Linked DNA regions of Oryctolagus cuniculus. Each later gene encodes a partner of the first gene's protein in a complex. Links are inferred from orthologs where the notes say so. Each region holds a gene or a part of one and is shown in the gene's direction. Other genes may lie near its edges.

Region 1 (6,662 bases):
TCTTCTGCTGCTTTCCCAGGTCATAGCAGAGAGCTGGATGGGAAGTGGAGCAGCCGGGACTCGAACTGGCACCCATATGGGATGCGGGCACTGCAGGTGGTGGCCTAACCCACTATGCCACAGTGCCAGCCCCTTGTGTATGGGTTGTGATGTAAAAGGCATCTTGTAACATGGACGATGGTCAGGTTGTTACAGAAACACTGGACTAGGTGCATCATGGTTCAGTCCAGGGTGCAGCCTGCAGTCCATGCCTGCACTGAAGGGATCTGGGGGAAATGATTTCTATTTTATATTCCTATGCATATGCAAATTATATCCATATGCAAAGTGCTCATCTGCCACAAAGCTATGATCTGAGAATCCCCACAATGATCTTTGGGGAATACACAGTAGGCTTTGCAGCTGAGATTCATCTATGAGGGGCCAGCACTGTGGCGCAGCGGGTTAAAGCCCTGGCCTGCAGTGCCGGCATCCCACAAGGGCGCCGGTTCAAGTCCTGCCTGCTCCACTTCTGATCCAGCTCTCTGCTATGGCCTGGGAAAGCAGTAGAGGATGGCCCAAGTCCTTGGGCCCCTGCACCAGCGTGGGAGACCAGGGAAAGGCTCCTGGCTCCCAGCTTCGGATGGGTACAGCTCCGGCAGTTGCAGCCAGTTGGGGAGTGAACTAGTAGATGGAAGACCTCTCTCTCTCTCTCTCTTTCTCTCTCTCTCTTTGTTTGTGTCTCCTTCTCTTTCTGTATTTATTTCAAATAAATAAATAAAATCTTTAAAAAATAAAAAAATAAAAATAAAGACACTGGCCAGCCACATCAGGCTGCCCATTTGAGTCCATCAGCTTCTGATCCAGCTTCCTGCTAATGTGCCTGGGAAGGCAGCCAAAAATGACCCAAATGCTTGAGTCTCTGCCATCCACCTGGGAGACCCGGACTCTTGGCTTCTGTTTGGGCCAATGGTGTGTTTTCTGGCCATCTAGGGGAGTGAACCTGTGGATGGAAAATATCTCCGTCTCTCCTCTGTCATTTGCCTTTTAAACAATCAAATAAATATTTTAAAAAAATATTCATAGGCCTTAAAAAACAAAAAAGACCAAGTACCTACTGTGGACAAAGGAGTAGAGCAGGTAAGGGTGATTGGAAGCAGGACCACCAAACTTTTAGTGCGAGATATTCATCGGGATCCTTTAGGATATAAACATTAACAGGTATTCTATGCCCATCCTAATACAAATTCGGCCAACAGCCCAGCATCATTAACAATCTCTGGTCCACAGCTCACGCTGAAGGGGTCCATCCTCGTAGATGCTGCATCTACATCCCCCGGCCACTAGGGCGCAAAGGGGGCCCTTTCCGAGAAAAACAGGGCTGGGGGAACGACGTGGGGACCGCAACCACCCACACTCCCCTTCCCCGAGCGCCTCGCGTGGAAGACACCAGCAGCACAGGCGCAATGCTTATTGCGCGACCCGGCCAGGACAGACACCTTTGCCCTGTGGCCTCCCATCCGTGGCGATGGAGGCCGAGCGCGCTGCGGGGCTGAGGTTCGGCGCAGCCTTTCGGCGGCACCCAGGCGTGCCCAAGCCCAGAGACGACGCTGGGGCAGCCCCGCTCGCCTTGTCTTGCGGGGCCGGGGCCGGGGAGGGGGCTGCGGCGAGACTTCTGGGTGCTGCGAGCGCGAGAATTCTCGCGGTTACGCTCAGTGGCCCGGGATCCGCACCCCCCCCCCCGCCCCCAGCTTTAGGTGACTTGTTCTGTGTTAAGGCGGTGCCAAAAGATCCGAGCACTCCCTGTCACTGTCAGTGTCTCGGGCCTTTCCAGCCCAGGCCTGTGCCGGCAGATCCGTGATCGCTCTAAACGTCTGGGAAGAGACCACCTGCGGTCGCCCTCTCGCGCGCTCTCTCTCTAGCGCGCGCGCGCGGGGACCCTGCTCGCCTTTCTCCCCGGCTGCAGCAGCAGCAGCAGCAGCAGCTGGACGAGGTCGGGCGAGCATCTCACGGGCAGAGGGTCCGAGCCGCGCACGCGTCGGGCGCCGCCGGCTGCGCATCGGGCGCCTGAGCGCGCCCCCAGCGCTGCGCCCGCCGCGACCGCGGCCGTGGGCTGGCGCTCTCTCCCCGCGCGGGGGCACCAGAGCCCTCGCTAGTGTCAGGCACTGCGGTGCATTTTTTTCCCAGTTCCCTTTTTTTAAATGACTGCGGAAAAAACGGAGTCTCCGAGCCGCAAATGGGAAGACGGATTCTCAAACCAGGTTTGCGAATGGCCCGCAACCATCCTTGAACTGCGCCCGCGGAGCAGTTACGGGTGGGCACCGACCCCGCCGGATCGCCTCACTTGTCCCTAGTGAGCCCCCGAGGCTCTGCCCGCACCGGGCTTCTCTGTAGCTGGATGCATACCGTGCTCCGAGCGGCGCGGGCGCAGGGCACGCGTTCGTGCACCCCCGCGCACACCCGCACACGCGCAAGGTACGGCAGGGGCGCGCGGGCTCGGGGTGCCCCGCGTGGGGGTGGGTCTCGTGGGGGAGTGAAGCGACGGTCTGGGAATGGCTGCGGCCAGCCAGGTGGAAGCATGAGAGAACATGACGCGGCGCCAACGCATCGGACAGGCCGGCGTGGCTGCCGCGCAGTTACGGAGCCCAGCGCGCCACTCGCGTTCCCTACCTCTCACACGTCTCTCCCGAGCGTGTGGTGGCAGAAAACCCCAGGAGAAAGACCCCCCACTTAGGGAGCTCCGGTTGTGTTTGGAGACCACCCCACCTCCCCCTTCAAAAGCACCAAGGAGAAGACCTCATCCCCCCACTCCCTCCCCAAACAACCCATCCCCAAATAGGTGACCCGGAAGGGGGGGGGGGGCGCTGATCCTTGGCTCCCCGAGCAGAGCAGGTCCTGGCGTTGACAGCTGTGCATTCCGTGCTAGCGGAGCTCGCCGACCCTTTTTGGGTAGGGTGGGCAAAGGAGAACGCAGCAGGGTTGGAGAGTGGGGGATTCCAACAATAAGCATCAGCGCATTTTTTTTTAATTTAATTTTATTTTTTCAGAGCGGAACCCAGCCCTGTCCCCCGTCTACAAATGGGAGACGGACGGCCTCTGTAGGAGGGTCGGGGACCCGGAGGCGTCGAACCGCGGCGCGGCGCGGCCCGCGCACGCGCGCGTCCCCACGGCAGGCTGTGCGCGCGTGTGTGCGCGCCTGTGCGGGCTCCCACCGGCTGCTTGCGCTCGGCTCCTGGCCGGCGGCGCCGGTGCCTCCCTCCCCGCGCCCGCCCCCAGATTCCCCTCCCTTCCCCGTGGCTTTTGTCTGGAGGGTGTGATGGGCTTGTGTGTGTATGAGCGTGTGTGTTTTTGGATTTCAGACTAATTTTCTGGAGTTTCTGCCCCTGCTCTGCGTCAGCCCTCACGTCACTTCGCCAGCAGTAGCAGAGGCGGCGGCGGCGGCGGCGGCTCCCGGAATTGGGTTGGAGCAGGAGCCTCGCTCGCTCCCTGGCTCGCGGCGCTCGCGGCGCTCAGTCCCCCGGCGGCAGCGGGGAGCCTGGACCCTGGACCCGGGCGCCGCCGGCGGGCGTGAGGCGCCGGAGCCCCGGTGAGCAGCGCCTACACTCACTGCCCTCCCGTCGCCTCGGCCCTCGCCGCCCTCCCCGGGGCGGCCGCAGCTGCTGCCCAGGTGGGACGTGCCGCGCCACCTGCCCGCGCCCCCGCCCCGGCGCCCGGCAGCAGCCGCGACAGATTCTGCAGCATCATTCGGGGGGCCCCGTCGCGGAGCCATCGCTGCCAACAGTGGCCGCGTCCCCCCCCCACCCCCGCGAAAGGGTCCCCCACCATCCTCCTCCCCCCCAACCCGGCCTGTGCCATGGCATCTTGTCTCAGGGACCCTTTCCCCGCCTCTCGTCCCTTGGCCTCAGCATTGAGGGAAGAGAGGGTGGGCGTGTTGGCGGCCCCAGCGGCGTCCGTGCCATCCCCCCCGGGGCAAGCCGATTCCCAGGCCAGAGCAGGGCGCTTCCCACCCCGTCCACAGTCTCGGGGCCGGGGTCGGGGTTGGGGTGCGGCGAGCGCGGAGGGAGAGTGCCCCAGCCCCCAGGGCGTGCGTGCGTGGGGCCCAGCGCCCAGGCTTACGCGCGTGTCTGTTTGTCCTCAGCCCCGGAGCGGCCCCGCGCGCGCCTAGCAAGGAGCCTGCGCCCGGAGACAATCCCCGGGAGCGCCGCCGGCCGGTGCCCCGCACGCCCCGGGCCATGCAGCGGCGGCCGCAGCGGAGCTCGGAGCGGCGGTAGCGCCCCCTGGGAAGCGGCCTGTGATGCCCCGGCCGCTGTGAACGGTGCTGCCCGCGCCAACACTTCCCGGAGCCCCGGCCACGCGGAGCCTCGGACACGCTCGACTCTGCGCGCCCGCAGCTGGCACCGAGGAATCCCGGAGAGCGGCGAGCGCGGGCAAGGCCTCCCCGCACGGGCGGCGGAGCGGGGAAGCCTGCCGCCGGTGCAGCTCGGGGACCCACACTTGGGCTTAACCCCCTAGGCGGCTGGGGATGTCGCTGTGGACGAGGTGGCATGGACCCACCATGGCGCGCCTCTGGAGCTTCTGCTGGTTGGCGCTGGGCTTGTGGAGGCCCGCTGTCGCCTGTCCCGCGTCTTGCACGTGCAGTGCCTCTCGGATCTGGTGCAGCGACCCTGTGCCCGGCCTCATGGCGTTTCCCAGGCTGGAGCCCAACAGTGCAGACCCGGAGAACATCACCGAAATGTGAGTTCTTTGCTCTCCTCGAACCGCCCCCCCTCCACCATGGGCTCACTGGCAGGGTGGGTCCGGGCCAGGTCGTGGTGCTGGGCCATTGCCCCGTTACCTGTCTTATTTCCCCCAGCGGGAGCCTGTCTAGCACGGGCGAAGTGGGACACTTTCAGATAAGTTTTTAGGTATATATGTCAAGCTTATTTTTTAAAAAATCTATCTATCTATCTATCTATGCACTTATATTCCCGGTGGGAAGGCATCCCATAAGGTATTTTATATTCCAAAGCTGTGCTGGGCTGTGCTTTGGCTTTCCCCTTTGCTGTAAGTTTGCTTTGGACGCCTTTAATTCATGGAGCGCCACTGGGACGGTGTGTTAGGCAGGGTCCCAGAAATATGCATGAGAAAGGAGGTGAAAATTATGAAGTTTCTGACGTCTCCGGGAGTCTCTTGCCTTCACCTCTTTCTCTGAGGGTTGGAGCTCATCAGTTTCCCTTTGGAATCTCCTGGAGCAGAGATGGCCTTGCAAATGATCTGTAAGAGGAGAAGTCCTGAGTGTGGAGTGCGGTCCTTGGGAGCCTGAGAGCCTTACTCTGGTTTAATTTGGAGCTGATTGTTTTTTCTTTCCCAGAGACCATTTGGGTCGGGAATCTTAATTGCCCATGGAATAAGCCCCTAGGTTGGACCAGAAAGCAGGGTGTAGTCTTTGATGAGTGCTGTCTCCCACCTGGGGCCCTGGAAGAGTCTGACTGCATGGGGCAGCAGAGATGTGTGTTTCTGTCCCCTCCCTACCTGGCTCCCGAACAGGAGCTCACCGGTCCTGTCGCCTGCTGTCCTGTGCCTACCTCTCCTAGCAATGGATGGCGCTTTACCATGGCCAGTGTTTTGTGACCCCGAGGTTTCATCTGTCCCCTGGAAGGGAGAGGGAGGCAAAGTTTGTGCCGGTTTTCCTGACCGAGGCTGGTGTTCAGCCTTTGAGGAGGGCTCGGGCTGTGGCCTTCCGGTTGGCGAGTGCGCATGCATGTTCCCCCACCCCCACCCCCACCCACCCCACACACAGAACAGGCACAACCATGGTTCCTGCAGCCTAGGTGATGGAGATAACCTGTTTTGTACTGTAAGTAAGAGACCGGTCTGGTCCCCGTTGCCTGTTCCGCTGGTAACGAAAGGCCCAGGGCTGAAACCACAAGACAGCTTAGTCTTCTTGGCATAGTGCTCAGCGGCCAGGCAGGAGAGGAAGGGTAGGGCCCCCACTGTGCTGGCCCTGCGCCGGGCCCAGTCAGGGTTCAGCAGGCTGAGCCAAAGTGTCTGTGGCCTTTGTCGGAATCGGTGTGTCTTTCTCAGGAGATGGGGTGTCAGGAGTCAGATGGAGGGGGCCGCACAGAGTTCAGATATTCGCAGTGTGCATGGACACAGTTAGTACTATTCTTAGTACTATTCTGTTTTGCTTTTGGTGTGGTTGGTTTTGAAATCCTGTATAAGATGATAGATGTATAATGAAAGAAATGAGATAGGGTTAATCAATCATTTTCACTTAATTTTTTTTTTCACTTTAAGGCCATCAGCTTGGAAAAAAAAAAGAAAAACTGTCTTTAAATTGAAAAAAAAAATTGTTTCAAACCTGCCTGGTATTTTCTGCCTGATCTATGAGAACTCAGTAGATTAGAACAGAGCTTTCTTTTACCTGTTCTCAAAACAAACATTTTGTTGCTTCTCTCGTATCTGATGGTCAGTGATTTTCAGATGGAGTTAAAAAAAATTGACTAAGTGTTTGTCGGAGTCAGTCATTCTATCACGCCACTCCTAATTTCTACTCTGATTTTTTTTTTCCTTTTTGATTTGAAAGCCCAGTAGGACTGGGGGAGTTGAGAGGTGTGTAGGGCTGGGTGTGCAGGGTTGAGGAATTAGTTTGGGAAAATGAGGCAGGCTGGGAAATGGAGCCTCCGCAGGAAGTGTGCTCCTCT
Region 2 (4,620 bases), on another chromosome or scaffold:
GGAGCCGCCGCCGCGCCAGGGGCAGCCCGGGGAGCCGGAGAGGGCGCCCCAGGTAAGAGCTCGGCGCCTCCTCCCCGGGGTTCCGGCGTCCGGGTCGCCCTGCCCTCGGGTGGGGAGGGGCGGGGGCGGGGCCGGCGGGGGCGGGGCTTGGCGGAGGAAACTGAGGCAGGGGACAAGTGTGCCCAGGCGGGGGTCGCAGGAGTCGGGGCTCCCAGCCCAGATCTCCTGGAGAGGGGACCGGGGAGGAGGGGTTTGAACTCCAGAACTGGATTTGAGGGAGGAGGGGCTGGGGACCCCCGACTGCTGGGTCTGAGGGAGGAGGGGCTGGGGACCCCCGACTGCTGGGTCTGAGGGAGGAGGGGCTGGGGACCCCCGACTGCTGGGTCTGAGGGAGGAGGGGCTGGGGACCCCCGACTGCTGGGTCTGAGGGAGGAGGTGCTGGGGACCCTGGCAGCTGGGTCTGAGGGAGGAGGGGCTGGGGACCCCCGACTGCTGGGTCTGAGGGAGGAGGTGCTGGGGACCCCCCGGCAGCTGGGTCTGAGGGAGGAGGGGCTGGGACTCCTGGGTCTGAGGGAGGAGGGGCTGGGGGCCCAGGGCTCTCAGGTGGGAAGGAGGAGGTGCTGGGGACTGCACTCCCTGTCCATGGTTGGGTCGTTGGGTCGGCCTGTTCTCTTCACACGCGGCCGGCGGCTTCCCCACCTCCTGGCCAGGGCAGGCAGCCACTCCAGGTATGTGCAGAAGTCTTGGGCGCGCCCTGGCCTGTCCTGTGAGGAGGGAACATTCCAGGAAGTCTCTGGGACCCAGGGCTTCTCAAGTGTGGGCCCTGGGGGACCCGGGCGTCCAGGCCAGCCCCGCCTGCGCCCCGTCTGGGAGATGGATGGGCCGAGGGGAATGTAATCTTTCCCAGCCTCCTCCATCTGCCGCCGCCCCCCTTCCCGCTTCTCCCCTGCGCCCATCTGCTTCCCATCCCAGCCAGGAGCCATCACCTGGGCCAGGGAAGGGGGCCTCTGGGAAGGGGGCAGGGCCTTGGCTCCTGGGTACCCTGAGAAGAGGGTGATCAGGGGCCCAGGCCCACTCCCCCCACCTGCCTGCTTCACCTGCCTGTCTGCTTCTTCCCCCAGGGGTTGCCCCCTCCCTCTGCTGAGATGTCAGGAAGGAAGGGGCCAGCTGTGTCCTCCACAGGGGCCCCCTGGAGCCTGGGGGCCCCCGGCCCGGGAGCTCGGAGGTGGAGCACGTGCTGACAGGTCTGGTCGCCAGCGGCTGCTTCCCAGCCCTCCCCACGCCACCCCTTCCCAGAGCCACAGGCTTCTAGGATGTGGTGGAGAAACTGGGGTACCACGCCCCTGCCCGGTCCGTCTCCCACAGGGAGGCTGAGGCGCCCCCGCCCCCAGGAGGGAAGTTAGCAGCAGTGTGGGACTGAACTCGGGTCTCTCCGGGACTCCGGACGGCGGCCTGTCCTCCACGCTGCGGGCCTCGGGTGTCCTTGGGGGCACGGAGGCTAGAGTAGAGCGACCCAGACGGGGTTCCAGTCCCCTCTCTGGTGCTGTGGGATCTGGGGCAAGTCTGGCTTCTCTGAGCCTGCATTCCCCCGCCTTGTTGGGAATTAAGGAATGGCGGTTGGAAAATGATGATGGATCCAGCGTCCCGAGGGAGGGAAGGGGCTCCCTGGGGCCGCGGCAGGACCGGAAGGTGTCTCCTTCCTCCTCTCACCCCAGCCCCCTCGCTCTGTCTTCAGGTGCTCCGAGAGATGCTCCCCCACCTCGCGTGCTCCCTCCCTGTCCTCCTCCTCCTCTTCCTCCTCCCCAGTGTCCCAGTGGAGCCCCATCCCCCGCCCTCGACGCTGCCCCCGTTTCTGGCCCCTGAGTGGGACCTCCTGTCCCCCCGGGTAGCCCTGTCCAGGGGCACGCCCTCGGGGCCCCCTCTGCTCTTCCTGCTGGAGGCCGGGGCTTTCGGAGAGCCGGCCAGCGCCCCGGCCAACCGCAGTCGGCGTGGGGTGAGCGAGACGGCACCAGCGAGTCGCCGGGGGGAGCTGGCCGTGTGCGACGCGGTCAGTGGCTGGGTGACCGACCGCCGGACGGCCGTGGACTTGCGCGGGCGCGAGGTGGAGGTGCTGGGCGAGGTGCCTGCGGCGGGCGGCAGTCCCCTGCGCCAGTACTTCTTCGAGACCCGCTGCAAAGCTGAGGGCGCCGGGGAAGGCGGGGGCTGCCGAGGTGTGGACCGGAGGCACTGGGTGTCCGAGTGCAAGGCCAAACAGTCGTACGTGCGGGCGCTGACCGCTGATGCCCAGGGCCGCGTGGGCTGGCGATGGATCCGAATCGACACTGCCTGTGTCTGTACCCTGCTCAGCCGGGGTGGCCGGGCCTGAGGCCGGAGCCCAGGAACCGGCCAGGCGGAGGAGAGAGCGAAGAGAACTGGATCTGTGCGGAGGGACCTCGGGGGCGGTCTGGCTTGCTCAAGGGCCTGCGTTTGGGAACTTGCCGGAATGGCGGCAAAATCACAGCTGTGGGAGGAGTGATGACACCACACGGAGTCCCGAGGATGGGTTCGGGTCCTCCTGGAGGGACGGAGGGGATTCACAGTGAAAGCAGCCAATGCCCACCGAGCCAATGCCCTCGCATCAGCTGTTGAGGATCCCACCGGCAGAGACCCTCGGTTCTAAGTTGCGGTCTCAGAGGACACTGGGTTGCCCACCTGGGAAGGAGGGACAAGTGGATGGGGGAGGGGAGAGCCCGGGACACAGGGCCAGCACCTGGAGAGCATGGCACCTCAGTACCTGGGGGCGGGGATTCAGACGAGAAACTGTGCTCCGTGCGAGGGGGCAGTTGTCAGTTTTGAGGTAGTGAGCCTCCCATCACAGGGCCTGGGCAAGGCCAGGCTGCTGGGGAGGTCACCCCTGCGCAGAGGGCTGGAGTCAGGTTTCTGCCCCCATTCCCTGTCCCAACCTTCACCCCGCACTGGGGAAGAAACACTATACACACTTGACACTGTCTGGTTGGAGCAGGACACGGGGTTCCGACCAGTCGGCCTGCGCCCTGGTTGGGATCGGGGCTCAGCCGACACCGAGGCCTTTGAATAGGGCTGAGAAAATCCAACAGGAGCCAGCGGGCTGAACGGGGCAGGGGTTGGGGGGGAGGTGTGTGCCAGGCTGCGGGAGGGCCGCAGAGACGGAGACTGCCCCCAAAGCTGTGGGACAGACTCCCCCCCCTCCGAATGGTGCCCCTTCCTGTGGCTCCAACACCCCTGTCTGCCACACACGCAGCTTCCCCCCTACACAGACCGGCCCCCAGGCCCGGCTGTCTCTTCCTGCATGGCCTTCCTCTAGATCCTGTGGGTCCCATGTGCCTTTTTTTTTTTTTTTCTTTTTTTTTGCCACCTTGCTCCCTGTCCCTCTAACTTCCTGAGTCTCTCATCTCTGGGTCGGTAGCTGCCTGCCTGCCCTGGCCAGGTCCTTCTCTCTCTGTTGGGTGGGGTATTTCCCTTTGTATTTCAACTTTCTGCAGGTCTCTCCCTTTTCGTCCCCCCCACACACACACACACATCCAGGTGGAAGTTTTCAACCAAATCAAAGGCAGGCCGGCGACGCTGGCTCCTTCTGCAGGCACAGGGCAGATGGGAGGGTCCTGGGGCGTCTGGAAATCGTTACCCCGGGGGAGTGGGCCGGCCTGGCAGAGGGAGGAGGCAGCCGGGAGGGGCTGTGCCCCACAGGAGAGCCGGGTTCTCAGAGACCCTGGTGGGCTCAGGGAGGGTCTCTGCCTCTCTTGCGGTCTGTGCCTCCTGGCCCTCCCAGGCCTCTCCCCCTCCCTCTGCTGCCCCCTCGCTGGGGTCTGTCTCCCCCTCATCTCCCTTTTCGCACCCCCACGCCAGCCCCGTTCTGTGCCCCTCTAGGGATCTCTGCCCCTAGTCCCCAGACCTCTGTCTCGCTCTGCCCATCCACTTGCCTGCGGGCCCTTTCATTGGCTAGGCTCCGAGTGGGCGGGTTCTGTCACCTGTGGCAACAGCAACAACAAGCCTGCTCCCGCTTGGCTACTGGGTCGGGGTGGGTCATGGCTGGGCGGACCCTGGCGCTGCGCTACGGCCCCCCATGGTCCCCCATCTCCGGAACTGAGGTGCCTGGGTCCTGGCCCAGCTGGCATCTCACCAGCAGCGGCGTTGCGCACCACCACATCCCCTCCCTGCCCTTCCCCCCGCCCAGCGTGCAGGTGAGCCGACCCCCGCTGGAGGGCGAGCCTGGGATCCGGAAAGCTGGGTGCTGAGAAGGGGCCTGGGGGCTCGTCCTCGTAATCCACCCTGAGAGAGGAGCGGGGAACCTGGGAGCCAGGGAGTGGCGCGGGGAAGGGCCGCGGACCGAGGGGAAGAGGGCGGAGCGGAGCGGAGCCCCGAGTCTTGAGCCGACGAACGGCGCCGTCTCCCCAGTGCACAGTCGCGGGGCCCCTGCCCCCGGCCGCGAAGCAGGACTGGCCCATCGGGGCTTTCGACGAAGTCTTTAACACATGGGAGACAACCTCGGGCTCGGCGCACGTGCGCAAGACTCACGGTGGGCCCTTGGCGCAGGCCCGGGCCCCGGAGCCCGCGGACCCCACGCGCACCTTGGGGATCAAGTCTTTAGGAGAAAAGGTGAGG

The links.
Region 2: the proteins of NTRK2 (region 1) and NTF4 are in contact, whole or in part, in a crystal structure (PDB 1HCF), measured with the Homo sapiens proteins. The link is inferred for Oryctolagus cuniculus from reciprocal best matches to the Homo sapiens genes NTRK2 and NTF4. Residues at the interface, in NP_001018074.1 of Homo sapiens: Phe291, Glu293, Thr296, Ser297, Asp298, His299, Cys302, Pro304, Thr306, His335, Val336, His343, Gly344, Cys345, Asn350, Thr352, His353, Met379, Gly380, Trp381, Pro382, Gly383; in NP_001382418.1 of Homo sapiens: Gly81, Val82, Ser83, Glu84, Thr85, Ala86, Ser89, Arg90, Arg91, Gly92, Glu93, Leu94, Ala95, Asp98, Ala99, Ser101, Gly102, Trp103, Thr105, Tyr135, Phe137.

The regions. Positions count from the first base shown.
Region 1 is NC_091432.1:135,547,102-135,553,763, forward strand, and holds the start of NTRK2 (BDNF/NT-3 growth factors receptor), read left to right. Parts: upstream 1-2,048; 5' UTR 2,049-2,454; intron 2,455-3,338; 5' UTR 3,339-3,646; intron 3,647-4,117; 5' UTR 4,118-4,501; coding exon 4,502-4,713; intron 4,714-5,737; exon of another isoform or gene 5,738-5,792; coding exon of another isoform or gene 5,793-5,815; intron 5,816-6,662. UniProt on the Homo sapiens protein: Receptor tyrosine kinase involved in the development and the maturation of the central and the peripheral nervous systems through regulation of neuron survival, proliferation, migration, differentiation, and synapse formation and plasticity.
Region 2 is NC_091449.1:8,248,800-8,253,419, forward strand, and holds the end of NTF4 (neurotrophin-4), read left to right. Parts: 5' UTR 1-52; intron 53-1,121; 5' UTR 1,122-1,244; intron 1,245-1,365; 5' UTR 1,366-1,624; coding exon 1,625-2,365; 3' UTR 2,366-2,982; downstream 2,983-4,620. UniProt on the Homo sapiens protein: Target-derived survival factor for peripheral sensory sympathetic neurons. May promote ameloblast differentiation and subsequent reduction in proliferation of ameloblasts.